4 linked regions of the Diceros bicornis minor genome follow. The protein of the gene in region 2 interacts with the protein of the main gene of each other region in a biochemical or structural test. Links are inferred from orthologs where the notes say so. Each region holds a gene or a part of one and is shown on either strand. Other genes may lie near its edges. The genes, in order: DCUN1D5, CUL3, PEF1 and DCUN1D4.

Region 1 (7,412 bases), on a different chromosome or scaffold from region 2:
ACATCCAGAATTTTATGAATTCTGACCTTTCCAAAGGCATTGAACCTAAGTGGCTCTCTTGAGTTTATTGCTTTCTTCCAGCAATATTTTTATATTTTTATTTATTGATTTCTGTCCACTTTGACTTTTTTAAAATTAAACTTTTTATTTAGAAGAGGTTTAGATTTACAGACAAGTTGCAATGATAATACAGAAAGTTCCCATATATCTCACACCCGGTTTCCCCTATTATTAACATCTTACATTAGTATGGGACATTTCTCACAATTAATGAACCAATATTGATTCATTATTATTATTATTATTTATTAGACTCCATTCTTGACAGGGAGTGGCAAGGGTCTAGAAGAATATGTGGGTTGAGAGATATCATTTCAACCATCTTTAGAAAATACAATCTACCACAGTGAGGTATACGCAGAAACTAATCTTATGCTTTTCCCTACTACCCCTTTAAAACTACTCTGTGAACTCATTCATCCCTGGATCTTGAATAAAATCTCATTCCAATACCATACTGTTGTAGACTGTATTTACCTTTATTTGGTGCCCCTCTCTGCAAGAGGATTATACATTCCTATCCTGATGAACTCAGGAGTAGCCTCAGGTGTATGACTTAAAGAGAAGTGATACACGTCACTTCAGGGCAGAACCTTTAACAGCCAGCATGGGGTTCACCGTATTTTCCTTTCTGTCTGTCGTGATGACAGGCAATGTTCCAGATAGTGGCTACTTCCTCAGGCTGGGTCCCAGAGTGCACCAGGCCCACAGACAGGCTGCAATTGATGTGCTCTAGCACACTGCTTTAGGAGGTATGGGGTACGTGGTGTGACATAGTTCTGCACTGTTGGGCCTCCCTAAAACACAAGTTCTCATGGGCTTTATTGAAGCTCCAAAACAGAAAGTCCTGTTTTAACATCCTATTTCTCTGGGTTTATGGGTATGAAAATATTTTACAAAATTTTGACTTACAAGATTGTTTTGAAAATCAATGTTAATGTATGGAGAGTATTCGTATAGATCCAGGACTACAGTAACATGTGGCATCCCACAAATCACTTAATTTCTGTGTTGCTTGTTTTTCTGGCAAGTGGAAATGCCCTATTTTAAGGTGGTGGTAAGAAAAAAATGAACTAAAATAAAATAAACAGAATATATAAATTAGCACATTTTAGGGCACTATTTTTGGCTGCTTTAATACAGATACAGCTATTTTAAAAGCTGTTTTTCCTGGCTTCATTCTATAACCCCCAAGAGCTAAGGGGTATGTATATAACCAACATGTCAAACAGATGACAGAGCTATGGCCCAGTCAAGTCTTTTTGCCTACTGCTCTATTTCGCATAAATATACATCCACTGTCATTACAGATTGATATTATTTAGTTATTTTTTTCTATATCCTTATATGTAACAGTATGATAAGATGAAGGATAAAGGAAGTTATGTGTCTTACCTAAGGGCACTGAGTGTCTTCTTTGGAGTTGAAACCAGAACACATGAGTTTCTGCTTAAGGTAAATTCTTCATCCCTTCCTTTCCTTCTCATTACTTTCATTAAAAAATTCTACTACATGACAAAGAACCACAGTACTCTGTCATAGTTTGTTTCTCCATTATAGGTGCCTTCTTGATGGAAAATAATGTACTATCCATGTGAGCAGCAGCAAAGATTAAAACTACATAACTAGGCATTTCTATACTGCTCACAGGCAGTGATGCTATCAATATGCCCCTTCTGTGAAAGTAATTGGGATGATGGAATGCTCCATTTTGAGAATGGAGGTATGGTGGTGGCAGTAGGTACTGATCAGAGAAGGCAATGAAGAAAACAGTCTACATGACCCTGGAAATCACCCTCTCCTTAATATTATTGACGAGTATAGATTACTGACCCTATTCTTTGTTCATAAAGTTCTCTTAAGTACAAATAGGCTGCTGCTTTATATTTCCCCCTCCAAACTGTAAGCTTCATGAATGCAGGAGTCATGCCTGCCTTTATATCCCTAAATCCAGCACAGTTCCTGGTTTAAGTGATCATTAAATATTGTTTGAATAACAGACTGGATGAATGAATACCATACATAAACCCAGTCTTTTATCTATTTTTCAGAGAATTCTACAGATGCAGGTAGGCTCCTGTCCAATCACTGCATTCAGCTGAATCTCCAGAATCTCCAGGTGTGGTGGGGTCTTCTTCCTTAGGTCTAGAAGTAGTTCTTTATGGTCCAGTGACCTATAAACTAAGAGATAATTATCTGCTCCCCACTCTCATGCAATAAACAACAGTGGAGAATGGACACAATAACCACAATAAATATTCCTATTTAGAGAAGAATGGAAGATGTGCAATAGTCACTGGTCCATAGCAGTGCTGGTATCCTGCTAGACAGGCATTATGAAGCTTCCTTACCCCTTAATTAGGCCTTGATTCTGCTCTCTGGAAGGATATCCCTCTGAGGTCTTAGTATTTATCTTTTAGAATTTTATTCCATTTCCTTTGTCCTATTTGGGGAAAGGCATGTTTAGCTTTTGCAGCTCACTTATTGAAGAAATAAGCTTGGTTATTTCTAATGGTGTTTTGTCATGTCTTTTTGTTTTGTTTTGTTTTTTGGTTCACACTTTTTTTTATCAACTTTACTGAAGAATAATATTCATACAATAAAGGGCATACACTTTTAATTGTACAGTTCAATGAATTTTGACAAGTATATACACCACCACCTAAATCGAGACATAGAATATGTCTATTATCCAGAAACTTCCCTTGTACTTCCTTGCAGTCTTCCCCCTCCATCCTCATCCCATTCCAGTCCCCAAGCATCACTGATGCTGTCCTGTAAATAAGTTTTGCCTGTTCTAGCATTTCATCAATATCAGCTAGTGTTCAAATTCCCAATTGCCTCATAAATGTCATGATATTGTTTAAATTATTTGAATCAAGATTCAAATAAGACATATGAAAAATGATATATCTTTTAAAATTTCTTTCTCCCACTCTCTTTATAATAATTTGTTATGGAATCTGGGTCATTTTTCCTGTAGATTTTCTGACAATATAGATTTGCTGATTGCATTGAGTGTTAATATGTTCCACCATCCTCTACTTACAGATGGCATTTCTTTTTAGAGACTTGACCTTATTCAGATTTGATTTTTTGGCCTCATGCATTTTTAACTGCGTTGTGGGATTACAGCATTCAAGAACAATATTCTTTTGGTTGTAAGTAACAGAGAACTTAATTGCATAACCAAAACAGTGAGATTTATTGCTCATGTATCTGAAAATTCCAGGGCATACATAGATTCAGGGCTCATTTCATAAAATCATGTCTTGGTTTTTGTCTTTCTGCTTGATTCTGGTCTCTTCTGAGTTTTGGCTTCATTCTCCACATCCTCTCAAGTTCAGTCCATAGGAAATAAAGTTGCTTCCTGATGGTTCAGTTTCATATCATGGCACTGACTAGCAGGTCTTGAGTCATGTGTCTGTTCTGAACCAATTAATGACACTAGGGAAATATGATATTCTGATTGGCCAGGTGAGGGTGCCAAGATGGAGGTAGTCTCACCAGAACCTCATCAACTGTTATTGAGTTTAAAGAGACTTTTAGTCCTCTACCATCACAGTTGGTTTACAGATGTGAACTTATTTTACATGTATATATTGAGTAAAACGACTTTCTACTATATAATCTTTACATGCAGTAACCTTTATTTATAAACAATATTTTCACTGAAGTGGAGCTGGAGTGATTGCAAGTGTACTGGGTAGTAAGGATTGGGGGGAGGCCCCTTAGAATTGTCCCCCAAATTCTCTTTACTAAGTCAGCGATCACGTACGCTTATCTGAAAGGTGAGCTCTGTGGAAACAGAAATGGTAGAGCTAAGTTTTAACAAGGGGAAATGAGAAGCAGAGGTCAGGGATGATGGAGAAATGGAGGTGGGAGAGCGGGAGGCTGATCGCCGGCCCGTAAAGAAAACAAGCATTTAAGGGGTGGGGAACAATTAACGTGAGGTTACCGAATGGAAGAGCTCAGAAGTGAAACTTGGTTTACTTTACCAGGTTATTTGTAACGCCAACTGCAGAGTATTAGTGGTTTCATAAAACATTTCTTGAGGGTGACTACCAGCCTTAGGACAGGATGGAAGCTTCGTGAGAAAGGTCGGGATAGCCTGGACAACCAAAGACGGTCAACTGGCCACCAGTTCACGATTTCTCCACTCCTGGCAGCTACGCACCGTCGCTCAGCCTGGCTGACGGCGAGCCAGGGCCAACCGGCGCCACGCCCCTCCCGGCGACCGGCTCTGAGCTTGCGTCACTTCCGGTCCTGGGCGATTCGCTTCCAGGTCGGACTGAGTCTCTTGCTCTCGGAATCTGTGAGTGGTGGCGGTGCCGCGCTGTCCGCGTTCTCTCTTCCCGGTGTGACCAAGCTGCAGTGTCCACCGGCGAGGAGTACCCGCTGCCCCGAGCCGAGGAGGACGAGGAGGAGATCTGGGAGCGAGCGGCGGCCGGCCTGGGCCGCTCTGGTGGGGGCTGGCGACTCTGCTCCTTCACTTGCTGCTGTCTCTGGGAACCGGGTGTCAGCACTGAGGAGTCTTCAGCGGACAGCGATCCCCTTCCCCGGCTCCCCTGCCCACCCTGCCGGGGAGGGCGGAAGATGCCAGTGAAGAAGAAGAGAAAATCCTCTGGGGTGGCAGCGGCAGTAGCGGAAGACGGAGGCCTGAAAAAGTGTAAAATCTCCAGGTACCACCTCCCCCCACCCTTCAATCTTTCCTCCTTCCTCCTTCGCCGGACGGCAAGGGGAGAAGGAGGCGGGCCTGGTCTCCGGGGCTCGGGCTGGGGAGAGGTGAGCCCACTCTGAGAAAGCTAGGTGGTGGCTGCAGGACACCGCGAGTGCCTGCGCCGGCTCCACCTCGTGTTCGGTGTGTGCGCTCTGGCGCCTATGGAGGGACTGGAAGTCTCCTCACATTGGAGTCTCCGTGCCCTGGAGGGTGGGGAAACAGGAATGCGTACGTAAATTGCGCTCTTTCCCCTTACCCGCTACACCCTCAATCCCACCCCACCCCCACCCCCACCCCCACCCCCTGGCCTTCTTTCCAGACCTAGAAGTGAGTACAGATCCGCGGAATGGTCACTTCTAGAATTTCTTTGTAGAGTGTGAAGAAAGGAGCAGAGCATGAGGACTCTTGACCTGACAACTGCCATGGGGATGGTAGAAAGGAAAGCTCCCTGTGCTATAATTGATCTCCGGTAGTAGTTGGAGTGGTCTAACCCGGATGATCCCAGCAGCAGGCCTTTAAATCGCAGGAGCTGCATTTTCTGGAAGGATAGCGCCTCCACCTGCGCCAAGTCCCTCTGTGCAGAGTTGGAAAGGCCCTGTATGCGTTTTGTGTTCTAGCATTCTGCTGTTAGTTCTCAATATAAATATTAATAATTTGAAAGCTATTGTACTCTGTATCCTCTTGGAGAAAAAGAAAACAAAGCAAAGCTATAGTTATAGCTCTTTGATCCCATTGTAGCATGTCATTGGAGCATCGCAGCAACCTTGTATGCTGCAAAAAATCATTGCAATTTAGGCGTGAGAAGTGGGTTTTTTAAATCCGCTTATTGGATGTCTTTGGCTGTATCAGTGGTTGGCACTTGATGTGACAACTTTAGGTGCTGCTATGAAAAGAAGACTAGCCAGCGTTATAAAGAGGAGATTATAATAGAGCTCTCCTTAAAGAGAGACCTGCTTAAAATGTGAGGTCGGTGGCTTATTTAGTCTGCATCTTCTTTTCATAATTGGTTAAATTTTTTTCCTTCATTATTGTGTTTGGCAAAGGAGCCTAAGGATATTTCTTGGGCTGTTACTGTGAAAGATGGTGCTGTTTTCATATCCCTCTTGGTAACTCACACTAGAATTTAACATGGTTACTCCACTAGCTCATATTTTTATGAAACTTACAAATTAGTTTTTTATTATTCTAACTTGTAGTCATCTTAAGTGTATAATGTATCAAAATTATTTAAATTGAGCACATTAAAATAGCTGAGCAGTCAATATTATTAGAACTCAGGTGATACTTTGCTCAATCAACTTAAAATTTTAAATATAGTACCCTTATTTTACGTTACGTTACATTACATTAGTCAGTTGCAGAAGTTATAGCATTTCTATGTTATGGTGGTGTAACTATTTGAGCTTCTTGAGAAGGTTCTCTGAAGTTCATTAAATCCTATGGCCATTTATGAAATTCCTAACTTTTAATGGTTTTATGAAAAAGATAAACAGACTCTGGGATTAAATAGCTTTGGCCCAATTATTTGTACTGTTTCTATCTTTTGGAGTTTTTTGTTTTTTTTTTTTTTTAATCTGTGGAATTCAATTTTACCCATAGGTCGTAAATCATCTTTTATCTTTAAATATCTATTTAATCTTAGTTGATGATGAACAACTCTTAATACATAATTTTATTTTGAAATATTGATTCATTAAGTATCAAAATATACTTTGTAAGATTTTGTTTTCAAATGTGTACCTATTATACACAAATATAATTTTCATGCAAATCAGCAGAAGGATCACTGGAAAGATTTATGTTTTCCCAAGTACCAGTCCTGCATTGAGAACATTAGGTTGAACTTCTGTGTGGTCTTTTGAAATTTGGGGAATTAATTTTAGTTGATATTTTTGGAATTTGATAATGAGCAAAGTAGCATTTGGGTTTTGTTAGCCAGAAATTTTAATGTACTGTTTCAAATTGCAAATACTTAACAACTCCAATTTTTTTCTTCTAATGCCAGCTGTAAAAAAAAATACTTTGTTTAGTTTGAATTGAAGTAGTTCATATTGAACTTAGCTTTTCACTAAAAGTTGAGACTTGATAAAATTCTTAGGCATTTGTGTGTTTTCTAAGCTATTGCAGATCCCAACCCCCTGCTAGACTAATAAGTGGAGAGGAACATTTTTCAAGCAAGAAGTGCCTGGCTTGGTTTTATGAGTATGCAGGTAATGAAATTAATATAAGAAGATATCGGTCACATGCTTTAAAACGGTTTTTTGGTTCATTATTTTAACGAATTATTTATTGCAGGCCTGCTATGTGTTAGTGCTGTGTGCTGCAATCAGGGTCAAGGCTGAGAATTGTGGGTAGGCTAAGAATTTGGTGCCATTTCAGGCTGATATTTTCTGTAAATATATAATTCAGTATATATTTAGTAGGAGGGTTGAAACTCATTTACTGTTAATACAATTTGTAAGCAGACACGTTCACTTACTGGTTTACATCCATTGACTAAAGTGGACTTGGTATTCTGGAAAACACAAAGTATGTAATAAAACATTTTATACGTTATATAGTTCTTTTCAGTATTCTTTTGAAATTTTTCTGAACTAGAAACTGACATTTTCTGACACTTTTAGGAGACATA
Region 2 (7,220 bases):
ACTTGAGATGGGTTTGGGTGCTATAATAGACATTTAAGATTTTTCTTTAATTCAAGATATGGCGTCTTATATGCTCATGTGTCTCATATGCTTCCTGTCTCGATGATACATATAAAGAAAATAGTAAAGACAAAGCAGAAAAGGTGCATGGACAAGACCTACAGTTTTCAAGTATCTGTGGCTATGTTTGCAATGGGATACTCCTATAACATGTCATCTTATAAAGCACATACCAAAGTTACTGGTCTAAATGTTATAAATCTAATGGCCTATGATGCTCATTAGTTGCCTGGTGGAGACAAGGAAGAAAGTAGAAGATCTAGCCCTTACTTTTAAGGAAGTGATATAATATCTATAAATCTTCTCTATGCAATTTGAAAAACATACATCTTTCCCTAACACAGTCTTCGTCTATTCAAAACCACTGAACAGGTCTTTCTAATTGAATTGGTAGGCTGTCAGCTGTTTTAATAACCAATATCTGCACAATCAAATCAGCAGGTCTGATACAGTGATACAAGTGGCTTGGTATCCTGGATACCTAGAAACTCAAGGCCAAGAAGAGGCTATTCCCTTTCACTGGTTTCTCAGTCTGTACTGTCCATTTCTAGACTGAGATGTACAAAAGGGGCAGGCCCATTCAGCCTCCCGGATTCTCTGACCGCACGTGCTCCATATGAGTAAATGGAAATGAGGCCACTGTTCTCCTGTGTCAGGACTCAGTCAGCATAAGTAGGAAACCAACCAGCAGGCATGCAACATCCAGTGAGTTCCTCTCCCAGCACTGTTTTCTCTGCTGGATCAGGTGGCAGTTGGCAGAAAAACCGATATCCTGAAAGTTCATTTGCTATTTGCAAGTCAGGGAATACCACCGGGCACAGAAGAATAGTCTACTGCTGCTTTGGAGAGTATTTCACATACATTTTGAGGATGCTGGTTTCCTACAAAGGAAAATCTCTGATTTCTGAACTGGAGTGTATAGGAAGTTGCCAGTCTAACCTGGGTCTGTGGTTTCCAAATTTTGAAATGTGAAAAAGGACTATATGTTCTGTGGTGGCAGATCTCATCTGTCTTATTTACCTTAGTGCCTGACACGTAGCAGCCATTAAATAACTATTTCTTGAACATTTATTCGAACCAATTGGTTTGAATGAACCAATAAATGAGCAGTAGATTTCTTAATGGCAGTGACATACAAAGTCATTTTGAAGAGTTTTTCTGGGTCTTTGTGGTTAAAAGCCTAATGGAAGACACAGTTGACAGCGATTCTTTCAAATGCAGCTAAATTTTGCTTAAGCAAAACCAACACGTAAAAATCTGGGTTCACAAAACAAACAAATTAAAGGGTGATTATATGCTTCACAATTACACAGAAATGTGCCTTATTGCAGGGGGTTCCTAAATCTGGCCCATGATGCTGTATCAGGTTCACACTTAAGCGAGAAAAATCAGCTCTGTGTATTGTTCTTCAATAGGGCTAAATTAACCAATTTAAAGAACCGTTCTTTGTTCAAAAACTCACCTTCTCCCATTTCTGTGGTTAAAATACTTTTTTAAAAAATAAGATAATGTGGGGCCAGCCCAGTTGCGTAGCGGCTATGTTCCTGCGCTCCGCTTTGGCGGCCTGGGGTTCACAGGTTTGGATCCCTGGCATGGATCTACACACTGCTCATCAAGCCATGCTGTGGCAGCGTCCCCCATACAAAATAGAGGAAGATTGGCACAGATGTTAACTCAGGGCCAATCTTCCTCAAACAAAAAGAGAAGACTGACAACAGATGTTAGCTCACAGCCAATCTTCCTCACCAAAAAAAAAAAAAAAAAGATAATGAGGCTAGTCGATGGTAGTTATGTCTTTTTAATGCCCTTAGTTGCCAAAATAAAGTTGCCAACCCCATATTGGTTCCCGGCTTTTTAAAAAATATTTTACTGGTTTGTGAAATGTAAGTGTTGGAGACTCGCTTAGTTTTAAAATAATATTCATTTTATGAAAGCATACAAGTGTTTTTAGAAATCTACATATTGGTTAAAGGAAGTTAGTATAAACTTGACCTTAACTACCCATGATAATAATAGCCAACAGGTGTTGAGTGGCTACTCTGTGCTGAGCACTGCTCTCAGGGCTTTTTAAAATGCTTTAATTACCTAAATTTCACAGTAGCCCAAAGAGGAAGTATTATTTTTATCCCCATTTCACAGATGAGAGGAACTCTAGGCACCAACAGTCAAGTCCTTGCCCACAAAAGCCACATAGTACAGGTAGTCAAGTGGTAGAGCTGGTTCCAGAACATATATTCTTATGTTACAAAGAAACTGGGTCACAGGACAGAACAACCAGTGGAAAAACATTGGCTGTTATTATATTCTAATGATTATGGAAATGGAGGTTCAGCACACAGGAATTTATAATCAGCACACAGATTATAAATTCCTATCCAAGACTCATATCATCTTATATTTAAATCAGAGCCCCTCCCAGTTTTACCTTATCAACCCAGTTCTGGATGACCTATTTTTAGCTTCAGTATTTATACAGATATTGCTTCAAGCAACATCCTTGTTTCTTAAGCTCGTGTTTTCATTAGTGAATACCAGAAAACAAAACAAGAAAATATGATATTTCCAGTGGAGCGTTTCAACCAAGTAGGGGATGAAAACAACACTCTTAAATTTAGTCATCAGGATTAAATTAATTTAGAGCAAGGTCAACCTTATAGTAAACAAATAAAACAGACGATTTCAGTTTACTTATTTTAAAAAAGTACAAAACCCCCCAGCTTCCAAGTGCTATAAAAAAGTATTAAAACTCAAGTTTAAAAAAAGTATTAAAATTGGGGCCTGCCCCATGGCCTAGTGGTTAGGTTCCCCTCAGATCCCCAGGCCGGACCCACACCACTGGTCAGCCATGTTGTGGCAGCAAACCACACACAAAATAGAGGAAGATTGGCACAGATGTTAGCTCAGGGCAATCTTCCCCAAGGAAAAAGAAGACTGGCAACAGATGTTAGCTCATTGTGAATCTTCCTCAGCAAAAAAAAAAAAAAAAAAAAAGTATTAAAATAAATAATAGCTCTCAAATGTAGATACCCATCTTATTTAGAAGTTCACAAACTTAACTGGGAACTCACATATTCCTCTGCAGAGTCAGAAATCCAAATAGAGCAAAGAGGTAAATTAGGAAGTAAAATTCATAATAAATAGAAAGCAAAATGAATGAATCAAACTAGACCTTTTGACTACAATGACAGAAAAAAAATTCCCAAATTTTTAGCAAAGTGGAATCAAAGACAATTTTGGCTTTCAAAATCTATGGTACTCTTGGTAATAGTAAAAATGATTTGGCAGGTTAAAGATAGGTTTCTATCAGCCTATCTTCTATTTAACACCATTTACCAAAATATTGCACTACATAAAAGGCATTGTCATTTCATTTCAATGGTAACGAAAAACAGATTTTTAACACTAATAAGTCCTGGGTCCCTCAGAAAGTATCAACGAATCAAGAAGTCCTGAAGCGTCTGCAGTTTAAGGAAATTTTGTGGATTAACATCTCCACCCCTCAGTCCTAAAAGGTGGGGTGTGCACATCCAATCCGAATACCCGGCATACAGGACCCTAATTTCTGACACTGCAGGTAACTCCAGCACCAACTCTTCTCTCAACTTTCTGGCTTCTGCTCAAATACCCATCCCTAGTCCACATGCCCTAGAAAAACACAGGAACCAGTTCTGGATGGTTATCCATCTCGCACCCCACGCCCGCCCCGACACTACCCTCGCGACCCAGGCCAGCCGGACCCAGCCCACTACAGTCCCGCTCCGGCTCTCAGAACTTCCCCCGCCCACTCCATCCACGTGACCAAGACCCCCACCCCCGCCCCGCGCTCCACCAATCAGCAACCTCCTCCGCCCACAGCCGGTCTCCAGCGCTCCCCTTTCAAAAAGGCAGTTTACTCCGCCCGCCCTCGGCCCCGCCCCTTTCCCACCTCCCCGCCCCGCGGGTCCCTCCCACTTCCCCGGCTCCCGGTTCCCTCCCTCCCCTCCCGTTGTCCCCTCCCGCTCCCCGGCTTCGCCCCGCCCCGCCCGGGGCCGCGCGCTCGCCCTCTTCTCGCGAGATCGGAGCGTCCCCGCCGCGGCCGCCCGCCTCCCCTCCCGTCCTCCCACCCCCCCTTCCCCCAATCTCTCCACTCTACGGCTCTTCTCCCTCCCTCCTCCCCCCTCCACCCTCTGGGCCGGATCTCGTCTCGCTGAGGCGGAGGAGGAGAAGGAGGAGGAGGAGGACGTTCGGCCTGCGCAGTGAGATGTTTGTCCGTCGCCGCCGCCGCCGCCATCGCGGAGCAGCGCGATAAAGGGAGCCGAGCCGGGCGCGAGGGGGACGCCGCGGAGCCGCCGCGCCAGCGCAGCCCCCAGCCGAGCCCGCGCCGCCGGAGCCCGCGCCGCCGCCGCCCCCGCCGCGGCCGCCCAGGGCCGGCCAGCCGCCCAGCCCAGCCCGGGGGCCGCGCCGCCGCCGCCCCCCGCGTCGCCCCCCGCCCGCCCGCCCGCCTTAGATGTGACACCGGCGCCTCGGAGTGCGACCCGAAGCCGCCGCCGGGGAGGGGACGAGCACCATGTCGAATCTGAGCAAAGGCACGGGCAGCCGGAAGGACACCAAGATGCGGATCCGGGCCTTTCCGGTGAGTCCCCGCTCGGCGCCGGGGACCCCGGGGCCGGGGGCCCGGCCGAGAGCCGCACGCGAGGCCCGGGCTGAACTCCCCCAACAGGCCGCAGGCCCGGCCTCCCCTCCCCCACGCCGCCGGCCGCGGGGCGCGAGCCTCCCGGCAACGGGGCGCCGCGGGCCGGGCCTCCTGGGCCGTTCCCAGCGCCCCCGCCGCGGAGCGGCGCCGCCGGCCGGGCCCCCTCGCCGGTCCCGCGGCCCCGGGCGCCGGCCCGGTGCCGGGCGCCGGGTTCCGGGATCCCGGCCCTGCCGCGATGGGGACGGGCGAAGTCCTTGTGTGGGGCGCGTGTGTAACTTTTCACGTGTGGTTTCGCTGCGGGTGAGAAAAGAAGCCAGCCGAAGAGACGGCCAGCCAGACCTTTAGAATGATGGAGGGCACTGTCCTCTCCCTCTCCTCCCCCGTCGGGGAGGGTTGTGCCATCCGCCTACCCCCGGCGCGGTGACAGTGGTTCCACGTAGTGCTGTATAGTAATGTACCAGTAACATGGGTGTATTTATAGCATCTCTCATCCACAGGCTTCAGAGCACTTTACCAACTCTCATGGGCAGAAACTGCCTTGCCACTCAAGGGGAAGCCAGAGAGAACAAATTGGACAATTGGTTCTTTATTTCTTAGCCATGGAAGCCCAAAGAACGAGGAGTCACCATCCTGAGTTGCTTTACCGTCTAGGTTTTAGTGACAGCAGACGTTTTCTGTTTAGAAACTTTCTTTTTTAGCATTACGTTGACTCATATGCTTGTGGCGTTGAGTATATAGGGTATAACTTCGGGTGTCATATCTGAATCGAATAGCCAATGACAAGCATTAAAATGTGCTGTTGTAACAGAGAAACTAGGCGTATTTGCTCGTGTCGCTACAGTAACAGGCATACGTCAGGACAGACAAACCAGCAGTTGAACAGAAAATTTTAAAACAGCAAAGCTAGAGAAAGATCTTGGGTTTCCTTGCTTAAAATCATAAACATAAAGTGTGAGGGAGGAAGAGGCAGTTTGTACTCACTTTTTTAAGCGTGCTTTTTGTAAAGTGTAGTTTGCAGTGAGGAAAGACTTATTAGTGTAGTTATTCTAGTTGAGTAGGAAACCGACCCACTGAACTTGAGGACCTCTGTGAATTTTTAAAACTTAAAAGACCTGATGCAGACACCTGATGCAGAATTTTGAAATTGTGGTAGCGTAAATACTAATGTCGATGTGTAGAAACTTTTAGTTTTATGTAAGTAAAGCTAGGGTATACTCAGGAGAATTAAGTATTTTGATACTGATGAAAGGGATTTTGAATTTTTTTCTTAAGTAAATGTGAGAAACTACAAAGAAAATGAGAAATGTTGACAAAAGAGCACTAATGACGTTCACTAGCACGTTTTCCCTTAAAATGGAACAAAAGCTGGGTTTGTGAATTTTCGAGTAATGTTCGTTTTCCTACTAAATCAGTTCTGACCATTTTTAGCAGAATTTTAGTTGTATACAACAAATTTTCTAGGAAAAGCTTTCTACTCTTACAGTCTGAGTTCTAATTCAGATTTATTACTAAAATGTGGAATAGCTCACATTTGACATCAACTCACTTATGTCAATATTCTGATTAACCAGTTATACCTTTATCTATGTGTGATTAACCCTTTGATCTCTTTAGGTTTGCTTGTTCCTATCTGTTCTCCCATTCTTTCATTCATTCAACAAAGATGGAGTACTGTGTGCCAGGCGCTGTTGTGGGAGCTTGGGATATATCAGTATAGCTTGAAAGACCCAGATGCCTGCTTTCTGGATCTTACATTGCTGGGAGGAGGTGGTGGGAGAATATTCCTTTAGCTGAAGAGTGTAATATTATGTGATAGATTAGCACACAGTACTGATGAAACTGATTATTTTAAAGTAGCGCTATGTGTATGAGCTAATTTGGACCCTTTCTGTTTGTAACTTGTTGGCCCTCTACGTTTTTCTAAAATCCTTTAATGAAGTTAAAATATTAAACTAGTGTTTGATATTTAGTAGTTAACATCTGCTAATTTTTCGAAGTTTAAGGATTTTTCGTTATTTTATAAGTATTAACATCATCATAAGTAGTTCCCGCTGAAAAGAACTATTATATTTTTTAATATATAAAATTTTAAGTCATAGTTCCTTGAGCCTTCATTTAGTATAGATATATGCCTCAGTGGTATGGTATTTCACTGACTTATCCTTTAGTAAATGTTTGAGTACTTACAGACCTTGAAAATTTGTTTTTTCTTCCAGGTTAGTGATCTTTTACATAACTATAGTCTATGTGGATTGCTAGTTAGAAGTAGTAGATGCATAGTATTCCATAAAGAAAAAATACTGTTTATGTATATACATATGTACATACTTACAACTATCGTATTTTACATTACCATTTGGATATATAGTTAACCATAATTTAAAGGAAATTGTAGTTTAACCAAAGGTCTCGAGTGCTCATTTCAGATTCTGTTTTATAAAATTGATGTGTAAAAATATATTTTGTGATTATTTTGTTTTCATTGCAA
Region 3 (6,929 bases), on a different chromosome or scaffold from region 2:
CTGACTCCTAACAATAGGCTGGAATCCTCCAGGGCTATGTACTGGGTGGAGGGGAGGTGGTGCTCACCAAGCCTTTGGACGCTTTAAAAAAAAATACATTTCCTTTCTTGGAACACCATGGACCAGGAGCTGGACAGGCAGACAAGGATATGAAAAAAAGCACTTTTTTGCTATTCCAGCATTTCTTCTTCCGTTCCAGACACGTTTCTCTCTGTGCTCCTTTTCAAGATTTCACTGAGCATAAGCCCAGGCAGCATGGCATGATAACAGCATTTGTAGCAGCGGCAGCACTGGCACACACTATGTGTTAGCAGTGTGCCAAGCTCCCTATAGGCTTTATATTTCATCCTCATTTCAGTCCTATGAAGTCTTATTCCTCCCTTTTTACAAGCGAGGAAACTGAGGCTTAGAGCCCTTAGATGATGTGTCCAAGGGCATGTAACTATTAAGCAGCAGAATTAGGATTTGAGCCCAGTTCTGTCTAACCTGCAAGATCAGGTTCTTAATTTCTATGTCACTGTTTCTAGGATGCATACAAAGTACCTCCTAAAGCTTATTAAAATGTAGACACCTGGCCATTCCTGGGTGCAGAACAGGTCTGAGGTGGAACCCAAAAGTGTGTTTTCAACAAGCTTCTAGGTGATTCTGACGCAGGCTGACTGTTTCCCCAGTGTTCCTCAGGAATACTAGTGTTACCGAAAAATGACCAGACATAAAAAAAGGGAGGAGGAGGGAATTCCATGGTTGGTAAGTTTAAGAAATACTGCATATTCTATCCCTTGTTAGCAGATTTACAATGTATATTGACAAATCAAGAATTCTGAGATGACCTATGGTGAACCAACTTATTCAGCTGTATTTAACAGAGTATTTCCCTGATGCATTTAACCACAAAAATCCTCCTCCATTAGCAATACCTATCAACATCTCACAAGACTCAGCAAATGGAACGGAGCTTGGGAAACACTGCTCGATTATACTTCTTCCTAACCCTCGCCTAGGCTGGCCTCTCTCTTTCCTACCCCTGCTAAGTATGCAATGAAAGGATTTCTAAGTTCTAGCCCGGGCCTCACCCCCTCACTTGCTATGTGTGACCCTGGGCAAGCCACTTAATCTCTCTGGGCTCGTTCCTCAGCTATCAACTGGGGGTAATAATCCCTGCCGGCATGCCTCCAGGGCTTCATGATTGAGATAATGGAGGTCCAATACCTGTACAAAAACTGTACAGGGCTACACTCCCTCAGAGCGCTCTTGCCACATCCTTTGCCATGTGACTGTACTCATCGACTGCTTTGTAATGTCCCATACAATGTTGTCTTCCAATTTTTCCTGCATGGGTTTTATCTCCTAAATTAGCATGATCTTGGGCAACTCAGTAGCCCTCTCTGGGCTTCAGTTTCCTCCTTTTAAAATGAAGGGAGTGGGCCAGCCCCGCTGCTTAGTGGTTAGCTGCTGGCAGCCTGGGTTCGGATCCCAGGCGCGCACCGACACACCGCATCTCCGGCCATGCTGAGGCCGCGTCCCACATACAGCAACTAGAAGGATGTGCAACTATGACATACAACTATCTACTGGGGCTTTGGGGAAAAAAAGGAGGAGGACTGGCAATAGATGTTAGCTCAGAGCCGGTCTTCCTCAGCAAAAAGAGGAGGATTAGCACGGATGTTAGCTCAGGGCTGATCTTCCTCACAAACACAAAAATAAATAAATAAAATAAAATGAAGGGACTATTCTGAGGGCCCTCCCAGCACTGACCTTCTAAGAATCTGGTAAAAATCAAAACACTGAGAGGTAACACCTGTTACACTCTTAGTAGTACCAAATGCTTTACAAGCATCACTTCATTACTCTTCCCAACAGCTCTATGAGGTAGACTCTATTATTTGGTCCTATTTTACAGAGGAGTTAACTTCAGCTCAGAAAGGCAAAATACCTTGCTCAAGGGCTCCAAACTAGTTAAGTGATGGAGCTAAGATGTGAACCTTCCTCTGACTCCAAACTGCACTTACCCCTCCACACTTCCGTCACCCAGCAAAGGATTCTGGCCACAGAACCACCTCGCTGCGGTGTTCTTGGCTGGATCGAGATGGGTTGGCAAGTGGGGAAGAGGCACTGGCTGACAGCTCTGGGTTCTGCTGCCTAACTGCCTAGTCACTTCAGCTAAGTTCCGTGTCTTCTCTGGGTTTCATTTTTCCTATGTGTGAAAGGAGGCGGGTGTTGGACGAAGTCAGTAGTCAAAGAAGCTCACCTGTGGAGCCTGCTAAGCCACAGAGGCTCCTGATTATTCGGATGCAGTACGTCTGGGGTGTATTTTTATCCGACGCCCCAAATGATACCGACGGAACTAGCGTCTAAATGTTCTACTGGCGTTGATGACCCCGCTCAGGGTCCCCGCCGGAGACCTGGGAAGGTGTGGGGCCAGGCCGAGCCCAACCTGGGTCTATGAGATCCAAGTCCCCCAAATCCTCCCGTGCGCCACGTCAAAGGGGGCGCGACACGACCTCCCCGACGTGCAGTCCTACGTGACGTGACAGACGCGACCGACCGTCCCCTTTCCCTTCTCTTCCGCGCGAGACCTCGCTGAAGCCAACCGCAGCGTGGGAAGGGCGCGAAGAAAGCGGGGAGAAAGGAAAGCGAGGTCCCGAGCCCGGACGTAGCGAGGCCCCTACCTGGATTCCCCCGCCCCTCACGCACTCACCTGCCCATAGGGATAGCTGGCCATGGCGACTCTGACGTAACACGTCGACGAGGGGCGGGGCTTCCTGGTTTCAAACCCGTCCCTTGTCTGGGCCTAGGGGCGGGACCGCTTTCGATTGGATGTCCGCGACTGTCAATCCTGGGCGCATGTGTCGACGGAAGTGACGGTATAGGGCGGTGGTCGAGTGACTCCGGAGAAGCGGGAGGGGCTTCTCCTGAACGTCGGCGTCCTGTTTCCGAAATTTTGTTCGTTGTGTTGGCGCGGATGTTTCTCCCACTGCTGCCCTAGAGTAGGCCACAGGGCTGGTCAGTCCCGGATATTTAGTGAGAGGCTTGGGTGGGTGTTGCAGCAGTGGCCATGTTGTAACCTGGCAAATGGGACGCATGATAGTGGCGTCGTTGCTGTCGTCACTTCAAGTTTCCGCCGCCGGAGGGCTTAGGCGGTTGCCCTGACAACGGGGAACCGCCTGAGGCCTCGTGGAAAGGCTAGAGGCAACAGCGGAAGTACAGATGTTCCTCTTATGATGAGGAACCCATCCTAAGTTGAAAATATCTTAAATCAAAAGTGCGTTTAGGGCCAGTCGTGTGGCGCAGTGGTTAAGTGTGGGCGCTCCGCTGCTGACGGCCTGGGTTCGGATCCGGGCGTGCACCCACGCACTGCTTGTCAGGCCATGGTGTGGCGGTGTCCCACATAAAGTGGAGGAAGATGGGCATGGACGTTAGCTCAGGGCCAGTCTCCCTCAGCAAAAAGAGAAGGATTGGCATGGATGTTAGCTTATGGCTGATCCTCCTCATAAAAAAAAAAAAAAGTGCGTTTAATATACCTAACCTGCGTTTAATATACCTAACCTACCCAACATTGTACCTTACTTAGCCTAGTGTACCTTAACCGTGCTCAGAACACTACAATTGGGCAAAATCGTCTAACACAAAGCCTATTTTATAATTAAGTGTTGAATATCTCATGTAATTTGTTGAATACTGAAACTGAAAAAATAGAATGGTTTTATGGGTACAGAATGGTTGTAAGTGTATTGGTTGTTTACCTTGGTGATACCATGGCTGACCCCTTTGACTTGTGGCTTGCTGCTCCTGCCCAGCATGATGAGAGAGTCTCATACCACGTATCCCTAGCCTGAAACAACATCAAAATTCTAAGTATGGTTTCTACTGAACGCATATCACTTTGGCACCATCGTAAAGTCGAAAAATCATTAGTCAAACCATCCGAAGTCGGGGACTGTCTGTACTTACTCTCTAATGTTGACACCACATGCCAGTTAGTACCTTTGAGTAAGATCTGTGGTCTTTGGAGAAGAAAGTACCACACCGTCAGAGTGGGAGGAAAGTTAGATCATCTAGGGCCTTTTCTTTCATAAATGGGAAAATTGTGGTCCAGAGAGGCTTGCCCCGGTTCGCAGTGGGTTAGGGCAGAGTGTGATCTAGAACTGAGGTCAATGGATGCCCGGTTCTCAGCAGAGTCTTGACTGGTCCCCAAAGTAGGTCAGATCCTGGTTACAAGTGACCTCATAGTCAAGTACTTAACTTGCCTCTTGGTAATTCGGGCTCTACACTTATTTGAATGCTTATTCGACTATTTTGTTAAGTTCTTTCATGTGGGCACAGATTGTGTCTGTTTTTACTTGTTGTTATATCCCCAGTACCTAGTACAGTGCCTGACACTGTATTTTTTAAAAATAAGTAAGTGAGTAGTGTTATGAGGTGTTATCCATTCCAGCCCAACTTTCTAACCATCTAGCCAGGCGCTTTCCAAAATCACAGAACCAATCATGATGCTTGCCCACTGGACAGCCTGCAATGGCTCCTCTTCATCTCCACCTAGAAAATACGGCCCAACCGCTTTATTCTGGCACTCCAGGCCCTTGACCTTTGGCCCAACCTCACATTTCCAAACTTATATCTTACATCCCCTGCCCGTCTTCCCCTCTGTACTCCTTTGTTCAGTTCCACCATCCAGCACTCTTGCTTTGGAGTGAGGATCTTGATTTACTGCTTTCTAACTGTACGACCATGGGCAAGTTATTTAACCTTTGTGAGTCTCAGTGTCCTGGCTGTCAGAACAAATATGTAAAGAGATTTGAAAAAGAGGCTTATCACACCTGCTCATGCCCAGGCTTATGCCCAAACCACTCCTTTCATCAGATCAGCAGCCTTCACATCTCCAGTCTTTCAAAGCTCAGTTCCAACCCCACCCCGCAACTACCCCTCCCTCATTCCCGCAAGTCCAGAGTTAGCCACTCTCTTGCCTGCCTCCTTTTGCACTTGGTACTGTCACTGTGCTATATTCCAGCCTGCCTTGTGTAAGAGTTCTCTTTGATATTTTTCCCAAAATCCATTCCTCTCCATCTCAGAAAATCCACCCAGTCTCTCAGGCCACAGACCTAGGATCACTCTTGTGTGGTCTCTGTTTTTCCACTAACTTCCCCACCCCCATTTGGTCTAGTTCAGAAATAGACCCTGCTCTATTTCTGAAATAGTAATACTAGAAATAGTAATACTAGTAACTAGTATTACTAATACTAGAAACTAGTAATACTAGAAATAGTAACATCTGCTCTTTTCTCCCTGTTTGCGCGATCACCCTAGCCCAAGACACCATCCTTTACGGCCGGGATCACTACAATAGCTTCCTGACCCATGGCCCTGCTTTCACTTTCCCCCACACTCTGTTCTTCGTAGGGCAGCCAGAGTGATTGTCTTAAATGTAAATCAGATAATGTCATTCCTGGGTTTAAACTCCTCCAGAGGGTTCCCGTAACTCTTATAAAATCTAAACTCATCCTTATGACCTTCATGGCCCTATATGACCAAGACCCTGCCTGCGTCTCTGCCTCACTTCCTGCCACTGCTGTCCTCCTCAGTTCACTCCAGCTGGCCTGGTCTCCACACCAAGCTCATTCCCACCTCTGGATTTTCAGATTAGCTCTTCCCTCTGTCTAGAATGCTCTTCCCTAGGCACTTCACTGGCTGGCCCCTCCTGGCCATCCAGGTCTCAGTTCAACTATCACCTTCTTGGGGGAACATTCCTTGATACTACGTCTAAAGTAACATAGCCCCCACTGCCACCACATTCTAGTTGTCATATCACTGTGTCTCATTTTTTCATGATACTTGTTGCTAGTTGAATTGTCCTCTTTAAAGTTTACATGTGTATTGTAGGATTGTCCTTTTCTTATTCACGCCTCTATCTCCAGTGCCTAGAATAGTGACTGGCATGAATTCAATAAATGGTAGTAGTTATTATTATTATTATCCTGTATTGAATGCTTACTAGGTGCCAGACATTGTGCTAAGTACGATGTGTTGTTTCATTTTCACCACAGTCCTTTGTGATAGATTCTATTACCCATTATAATGAGGAGCTGAGGCTGAGAGAGACTAAGTGACTTCCCTACTATCAAAAAGATAATAGAGAAGTCAAGATTTGAACCCAGGTCCACAATCTTTTAACTGCTGGGTACTTAGTAGGTCTTGTGTTCTTTACTTTTGTAACCACCTCCCCTCCAAGTCCCCAGAATAGGTGGAATCGAATTGCAAAATCTCAGAAGGGGAGAAGTCCTGCAGTCTGGGCTGACAGTCAAGGGATATTTGCTGGGAGAGAGAATAGTGACACTTGGCCTGCAAACTGGGGTAACATGATGCACATTCATTTTATTCCACAAACGTATTAACTTAGTGAGTTCCCATCACTTGCCAGGCTCTGTTCTAGGTGCCGAGGATTAGACTCCTATGAGAATTTCACACCCCAGCCCTCTCTGCTCAGCAAAGGGCTCTTAGGAGAGCGTTCTGTGGGATATCTGTGCTCTCTGGGGGCAGGGCATCCCAGTCATCTCTCGGGCAGTCAGAGACCAGCCAAAGCCAACGTCCTGGGCTACACCTCTGAGGACCTGTGGCAGGCCCAGGTGTGTTTATTTTGGAGAGGAGTGGAAAAGAGGGAGATGGGGATCTTCCCAAGACTGAAAAACAATCAACTCATTTCCAAAACCTCAACTACCTGAGGCCGACAGAGGTGGGTGGGGAAGTTCCTGTTATTGTTTCATCTTTAGCCAAAGGAGAAAGCTTGGATTCCAGCCCTTTTTAGAGCACAGAGCACTTTCCTGAGTTCATGGAAGCACTGTGGTTGAGCCATTAGAGGGGAGGCAGAGCTTGGTAACGGAAGCCCCATCCCCTGGAAAACATCGCCTCCCCTAGAGACATACCATTCCTCCCAG
Region 4 (7,524 bases), on a different chromosome or scaffold from region 2:
AATGATGTTAACACCTTCCTCTCTGCCATTTGGTTTCTTTTCATTTTCGCCTGGCTTTTCAGCCTTGAAAAGCCTGGATCTTGATCCTTTTTTCATGTGCTGGTGGAGTACTGGGGAGTGAGGTGGATTCCTGTCTGTGCTGTGCTGAGGTTGTTCCAGGAGTGCATTGGCCGTGGAGGGTTGGGGGTTGAGTCAGGGTGGGGCTAGAACTCCCCTCTCTGGTTGCACATTAGGATCATCTGGGCTGCTTGAGAAAGGATCGACCACTCCCATTTTTATTTAATTGATCTGGGTTGGTGCCCTGGCACTGGCATTTTTTTTCAAGATTCTCAGGTGATTCTGATGTGCAGCCACTGGATTAGTTTTAAATAGCTAAATTTGTGAGCTGGGTTTGGTTTGGGCTGTTGGGGAAGGGGACTCAAAAGATGCATAGCTCTTCTACGGGCCCTGCCCTCGGAGGATAGCACAGACCCTTCTTGCTCACCATGTGACATTATAGCCAGGGCTCAGGTAGCGCTTACCGTGTGCCAGGCTCTGTTCTAAGCGCATTGCAGCATTAACTGATTTAATCCTCACAGTATGCTTATGAGGCAGGCACTGTTATTCATTTTATAGATAAAGAGATTCCTACTTCTGGCAGTGAAGGGCATGTGATATGAAGCTGTCCGACAAACCTAGCTTTTGGTTTTTCCTAGTTTTGTGGTATAAAAAACTCATTTCAAATCTTTGTGTTTTAGTAATTTGGCCTTAAATGTGAATATATTTGTTTTTACGAATGAGACATATACCTGTGCCATCGCGTATAGGTAAATGACTGTCAGCTGGGATGCATAGGTGTAAATTGATATTGTAGATCATTTAAAACACTACTTTTTATAGTGTCAAAAAAAAGTTGACTTCTCTTTATAGTAGATTTTATATTTCAAGTCATTTTGAGGTAGAATTCATTTTAATGATCTTTTTTACTTAAAATTACATTTTGTACGTTTTTTTTTTTTTGCTGAGGAAGATTCACCCTGAGCTAACATGTGTTGCTGATCTTCCTCTATTTTGTATGTGTGCTGCCGCCACAGCATAGCCGCTGACAGACAAGTGGTATAGGTCTGCGCCTGGGAACCGAACCCAGGCCACTGAAGCGGAACATGCTGAACTTAACCACTAGGCCGTTGGGCCTGGCCCACTTTTTATACTTTTCTTTTAAAATCACATGTACTATGTATGTGCGAGCTCATATGTAGATGTGCTCTGACTCCTGATCTGGCCTGCTCTTTACACTCTGGCTACTGTAACCTTCCAGGATACTAAGCAAATCAGCATTTTAAACATGCTCAAGTCTCACCATTGTAAAACCCAAATGGAACATTCCCTCAATCCCATGTGCATTTCTAGTCTCCCTTTCACAGTCAAACTTCTGGAACAAGTTGTTAAGCTTGACTTAGTGTGTCCCTCACCTCCTGGTCTATCCTTAGCCCTCTTCGTTCTGACCTCAGTTCTGGCATTGAAGTCTTCGCTGAGGTCACGGAGTAACATCCACGTTGCTGGATCCATTGACGACTTTTAAAGCATTCATTCCCATATTCACTGGTCTCTGTCATGTGTTAGGCTAGCTATGCTAGGTATGGGGATACAGTGGTGAGCAAAGCAAAAGAAAGTCCCTGCCCTCCTGGAGCTTGGGCTTGAGGGAGAGTGACAAAGGACAAAGATTATTGACATTATAAAATATAACATCAGTGTCACAAAAGACCTCATGGTGTATGATTCCATTGATATAAAATGCCTAGGATGGGCAAATCTGTAGAGATGGAAAGTGTGTTAGTGGTTACCTAGTGCTGAAGAGGCACGGGCAGGGATGGGGAGGTATTCCTAGAGGGGTGAGAAAAATACCTGAAGATTAGACTATGGTGATGGTTGCATAACTGTGAATTTACTAAAAACCATTAAATCGTGCACTTTAAATGGGTGTATTGTGTGGTATGTGAATTATATCTCGATAAAGCTGTTAAAGAATGTCAGAAAGTGACGAGTACTATGCAAAAATCTAAATCTGGTGGAGATGGATAGGGAAGTCAGAGGAGTCCTCTCTGGTGAGGTGACATTTGAGTAGATATTTCAGTGAAGTCAACTGTCAGGCCTTGGAAACATCAGAGGTCATCAAGGCAGAAGGTATATTAAATGCAGACGCCCTGAGGTAGGAATTCACTTGAGTATTCAAGGAAGAGTGTGGCTGGAATGGAGTGAGCAAGGATAATGGAATGAGATGACTTAGGTCAGATCATGTAGGGCCTTGTAAGGACTTGTTAAGGATGTGGATGTTTTTCTTTTATGCTGCAGTAACAAATCCAGAATCTCAGGGGTTGAAATCAAAGGTTGTTAATATCCTTTGCAGGTTGGCAGGGGTCTCTGCTTGACATCATTGACATTCTCATTCTCAGTCTATCTGAAACCCATAGGAAAGAGGCCTCCTGTTGCTAGAAGGAAGGAGACAAGGCAAACCTAAAAAATGGCTCTCAAATACAGAACACTGTTGGCTTTAACAACGAAGTTTTTTTCTTTTTCCATATCACTGAGCAAAATTGATGTTTCAGGATGGGCCATGTAACCTGTTGCTTAGAGAACTCCTAAGCATTCCGTGTTGAATCCCATTAGAGAGGCCTTGCCCTGCTCGACTGGATCGTGTTCTTGTTCTGTCCCAGAAACATTTAGGATGAATGCTGATATTGATAACCTTTAATTTTGTCCAGTTTTGTTTCAATATTTTGGCACTAACATGGTCATTATTCTGCACCACCCCACCAGAGCCTTTACTGGTTTAGTTTATCATTTTCGTTGTCATCAAATATCTGTGCATAGTGATGCATTAAAAACTTTTATACTTGAGAGCATTGCTCACTGACTCACCCACTGGAGTTTAAGCTAATAATAAAGTATTTTTATGACTCGATAGTGACCAGAAGAAAGAAGTGTACTTGAAATAGAAATAACATTGGTGTTATTGGTGATATATTTTCTGCACATCTTTTCTCTTTTTTTAAAAAAAAAAAAACTTGGTAAATTGTTTTAGATTTAGCCAGTTTTAGTAACTTTTTTTTTTTTTTATGAGGAAGATCATCCCTGAGCTGACATCTATTGCCAATCCTCCTCCTTTTTTTCTCTTTTTCTCCCCAAAGCCCCAGTTGGTAGTTGTATGTCATAGTTGCACATCCTTCTAGTTGCTGTATGTGGGACGCCGCCTCAGCATGGCCGGACAAGCGGTGCGTCGGTGCGCGCCTGGGATCCCAACCCAGGCTGCCAGTAGCTAGTAGCGGAGCGGGCGCACCCAACACTAAGCCACGGGGCCGGCCCTTAGCCAGTTTTAGTAACTTTTTAAAAAATATTACTCTTAAGTTTGTGTGCTTGATTATTAACAACTTTAGGTGGGAAATGCTGATTTTTCCCTTTATGGAACATGAAGATCAATTTTTGCTCTTGTTAGAAATAAGCTAGAAGGAGGAATGGACTTTGAATTGGGAATTAGAAGATGTGCATTATTCCCGGCTTGGCCACAGCTAGCTGTCTGACCCTGCTTGAGCTAATAAAACGAGGAGAATTGGACAAAAGGACATGGAATGTTGAATGGTACTCTCTCATCTCCCAAATGCTGTCTTAGTGGTTTTTCCTTACAGTACAATCACATACATTTTATATAGAAGTTAGTTCTAAAGTCCATATGTAAGGTGACGATCACTTGTATTAAAAATATCGCTGGAAATACGTTCAGGTGGTGCCCATTGGAGATGGTTTCGGATACAGGCAGCTCTTCCTCCAGCGTTGGAACGGATCGCTGGCTCTGGAGTTGAGCACCAGTTGAAGCAGCTGGCTTGCATTTAGGGACCATGTTTTATTAAAAAAAAATCTTTAAATACTAGACTCCTAGAGTGTTGTGAGATGCACAAAATGTGATTGGCACATGGAAACTGAGGCGGACCGAGTGACTGTGGGATTCGTGTTGCCCATCTCCTGCTCATTAAGTAGAAGGGAAGGCAGTTCTGGGACAACTGAAATTTTTTTGTTCTCTCTCCCTCCTTTTTTTTTTTTTTTGCCAAGTGAATAAAGTTGAATTTGTGTGAGTTAAACGTGGATGTTCTGCAATCCTGCTGTACTCAGGATTTCTCTTCTCCGCTTGTATTGCCGCTGTCTAACTTAAGGCCGTAATCATTTCCTACTTCAGTCTCTTCCAGTAGTCTTCATGAAAGGCCACTCTAAATCCGGGCCACCCGTCATCCATGCCACACATTTGCCATAGAGGGATCTTTCTAAAAAACTCCGGGTTTTAACACTTCCACGGCACCCAGAGCCATAGCAGTGCTTCTCAAACTTCTCCACCAGCATTCCGCTGTGGCAGAAGTTCAGTAAATTAGGTACTCGCAGGGTGCTTGGAGCATAGTTCGGTGTGGTGAAATTTCTTTAAAGTCTTGTGCCATAATCATATTTTTGTTTTTATGTAAAAGTGTTGTAGGCAAATTACCATTGAGTAAAATTGATGCTGCTTGAATGCACCATGTTTGTTTGTTACATTTGCATGCCTTTGGGTGGCTCAGCTGGAAATACAAGTCCTTAGGAGATTAAATCTAAACTCTTAAGCAGGGTTCACAGATCCTTGTTTTCTGACCTTTGCCTTCCTTTTGAGTCTCCTCTTTTATCATGCTGCTTCTCACATTTGAAGATCTAATGGTGTGGATGCACTTGAAATGCCCTGAATATATCGAATTTAAGACTTAGTGCCTTTGTACCTGCATCCATTCATTCATTGAGTGTGTACTGAGCACCTAATATGTGCCAGGCATTGTTCTAGGTACTAGGGATACAGCAGTGGACAAGACCAAGTCCTGACCTTCATGAAGCCTGCATTCTAATGGGAGAGGAATATGACAAACAACTATAAACAACTATATAATATAAAGAAAAGTAAAAGAAAAAGAAAGGTAAAGCAGTGTAAGGTGATAAAAGAGTAAAGAGGGAGTCCTGTTGTTGGTCTGGCAAGTTTCTGTAAGAAGGTGATATTTACATGGCAACCTGATGAAGTGTGAGAGCAGGCCATGTTACTATGTTATTATGAGAGGTAAGAGGGCTCAAGGCAAAGACAACAGCGTGTGCAGAGGCCCTGAGGTACGAGTGTGCTTGGAGTGTTCACAGAACAGCAGGAAGGTCACTGTGACTGAGAAGAGGGAGCGAAGGGAAGGTGAGTAGGAGATAAGATTGGATAGATGGGTAGAGGCAGAATGTGCAGGGCCCTGAGTCTGTAAGGATTTTTCATTTGTGTTGAATGCCTTCCCCTTCCATCTGTAACTATTGGGTGAGGTTGGAACTAATTTTAATTTGTTCACATTTGCTTCTCCATTTACTAAATAATTATCTCTTCGCCATTGATTTGAAAGGCCATTTTATCATACGTTAATTGTATGTGTGTTTAGACATACATATATATTCATGCGTACATACATATGTTTATCAACTCTTTTCCATTGATTTTTCTTCTTGCACATGTACCATACTATTAAAATTACTGTACCTTTATATCAGGCGTTGGCAAACAATAGCCCATGGACCAAATCTGGCCCACCACCTAGTTTTCATAAATAAAGTTTTATTGGAACACAGCCACACTCTCTTGTTTATGTATTGCTTGTGGCTGCTTTATGAGTTACAATGGCAGAGTAGTTGCAACAAAGATGGTATCGTCCACAAAGCCTGAAATATTTACCATCTGGCCCCCTACAGAGAGTTTACCAACCTCTGCTTTACGCTATGTATTGGTATCTGATAGGGTAAGTTGTTCCTCATTCTTCTTTTTCAACAATTTCTTGGCAAGTCTAGCATGTTTGTTCTTTCAGATGAACTTCAATCTGCCAAGTTTCCCTGACTCCCTTTTCCACACCTCTTTTTTGGGTGGGGATCTGGGAGGCCGAGAGAATAGGAATTTGACTGCATTTATTTTGTAGTTTAGTAAAGGGAGAAGTGATCACTTTACAATACTAGGTCCTTCCATTCCAGGAATGTAATATCTCTACGTTTATGTCTTTTGGTAAACTTTTATTGTTTCTTCATCGTATGTTGTGTATTTAAGTTTATTCCTGTAAGGATTATTGCTTTTTGTTGCTATTGTAATTGAGATCACCTCCCAGCTATGTTTAACAAGTGACTATTTATGGTATAAAGGAGAGGTTTTGATTTTTATGTACTTAAATTGTTTTTGACCCTCTTATGGAAGTAAACTCTTTTAGGACTGTTGATTTTTAAATTTGATTCTTTGGGTTGACAGTCGTTGTCTGAACTTACTGATAATTGTTTCATTCCTAACATTTGTGTCTCCATCTATACTGTGGGATTCTATGCCTGGGGTGGTTTGGGGGAATGGATTTAGACCGTCTCACTGGCATTCATTTTTTTTCTTTTATATTATGCAGGTCACAGCAAATGGTAATTACAAAAAAACTCCCCAAATCAGAAAACTTGATGCCCGGTCTACATTTGTTGGTAGTTTTAAGAATACCTGGAAGACAGTTTAGGCAAGCTGTTTGTTAAGCAGGTTGTGCCTTTTTGCAGAGCCATTTGTTACAGGATATAGGGTTTGCATGTCACGCTGGACTTGTAAACCTGTGTGACATGCAAACCCAGTCATTGCTTTACTGTGGAGAGCCGTTTGATCTTGGAATAAAATTGATTTAACCTAGCATTTATCCTTTGGAATTGAAATATGAGCAGAAGGAGATTTTTATGAATCAGTTAGTGCTTTCCTAAATACGTTCTCTGTAAAGCATTTGATCTTTACCCTTAATATCTGTTCCTTAAGGATGTGAAATCTATTTTAGATTTCAAGGTCTGTTACTTGCTCTGAGCACTGAATAGATGAACCATAAATTCAATATATGTTAACCTTTGTGGGTTAATCTTTTAATGCCATTTTTGTCCTTTTTCCCTGAATTTGTGTCTCCACCTTAGCTTCTTGGTGAAACTAAAGATAAATTATTTGTGTTGCTGGTTCCTTTTCTTTTTCCTGTTTTTTTTTTTTTTTTTGGTGAGGTGATGATGGAGTGGTGATGGTAGTAAACATTGGATATGGAAATGGAGAATTGCTGACATATGTGATGTGTGAAATGAACTTTGTTACTCTCGTTGCCTGTGAAGTGAAACTCCGTATTTAGAACCTGGTCCTAAATGCTCGTGTATATTTTTTCCGCTGTGTTGAGATTCACTTGGACCATCATTATGAACATCAGCTGGTGGTGTATGAACATAGCAATGCCATCATGGTCTGTAGAGATGTATCAGGCCGCATGCGTCAGTCATAGAAGAAGCTCCAACTCTGGGGTTTTTGATGTAGGGCTTTACTTGGACCTACGGAAGTTAGAGACCATTTTAGATAACTGTGGGGTGTGGAAAATGGTATAAGCGAATTTAGTGATAATGATGTCTTTTATTGAGCACTTATTGTGGTCCACGCATTGTAATGGGTGTCTGCCACATCTAGGCATTGTAATCTCTTTT

Evidence for each region.
Region 1: the proteins of CUL3 (region 2) and DCUN1D5 form a complex in vitro, tested with the Homo sapiens proteins (2 studies listed by BioGRID, with this or other methods). The link is inferred for Diceros bicornis minor from reciprocal best matches to the Homo sapiens genes CUL3 and DCUN1D5.
Region 3: the proteins of CUL3 (region 2) and PEF1 form a complex in vitro, tested with the Homo sapiens proteins (2 studies listed by BioGRID). The link is inferred for Diceros bicornis minor from reciprocal best matches to the Homo sapiens genes CUL3 and PEF1.
Region 4: the proteins of CUL3 (region 2) and DCUN1D4 form a complex in vitro, tested with the Homo sapiens proteins (2 studies listed by BioGRID, with this or other methods). The link is inferred for Diceros bicornis minor from reciprocal best matches to the Homo sapiens genes CUL3 and DCUN1D4.

The regions. Positions count from the first base shown.
Region 1 is NC_080746.1:31,996,883-32,004,294, forward strand, and holds the start of DCUN1D5 (DCN1-like protein 5), read left to right. Parts: upstream 1-4,402; 5' UTR 4,403-4,656; coding exon 4,657-4,742; intron 4,743-6,898; coding exon 6,899-6,990; intron 6,991-7,412. UniProt on the Homo sapiens protein: Contributes to the neddylation of all cullins by transferring NEDD8 from N-terminally acetylated NEDD8-conjugating E2s enzyme to different cullin C-terminal domain-RBX complexes which is necessary for the activation of cullin-RING E3 ubiquitin ligases (CRLs).
Region 2 is NC_080776.1:14,112,527-14,119,746, reverse strand, and holds the start of CUL3 (cullin-3), read left to right. Parts: upstream 1-4,206; 5' UTR 4,207-4,606; coding exon 4,607-4,672; intron 4,673-7,220. UniProt on the Homo sapiens protein: Core component of multiple cullin-RING-based BCR (BTB-CUL3-RBX1) E3 ubiquitin-protein ligase complexes which mediate the ubiquitination and subsequent proteasomal degradation of target proteins.
Region 3 is NC_080752.1:46,549,065-46,555,993, forward strand, and holds the start of PEF1 (peflin), read right to left. Parts: upstream 3,014-6,929; 5' UTR 2,723-3,013; coding exon 2,699-2,722; intron 1-2,698. UniProt on the Homo sapiens protein: Calcium-binding protein that acts as an adapter that bridges unrelated proteins or stabilizes weak protein-protein complexes in response to calcium.
Region 4 is NC_080747.1:40,350,509-40,358,032, forward strand, and holds the start of DCUN1D4 (DCN1-like protein 4), read left to right. Parts: upstream 1-4,502; 5' UTR 4,503-5,055; coding exon 5,056-5,218; intron 5,219-7,524. UniProt on the Homo sapiens protein: Contributes to the neddylation of all cullins by transferring NEDD8 from N-terminally acetylated NEDD8-conjugating E2s enzyme to different cullin C-terminal domain-RBX complexes which are necessary for the activation of cullin-RING E3 ubiquitin ligases (CRLs).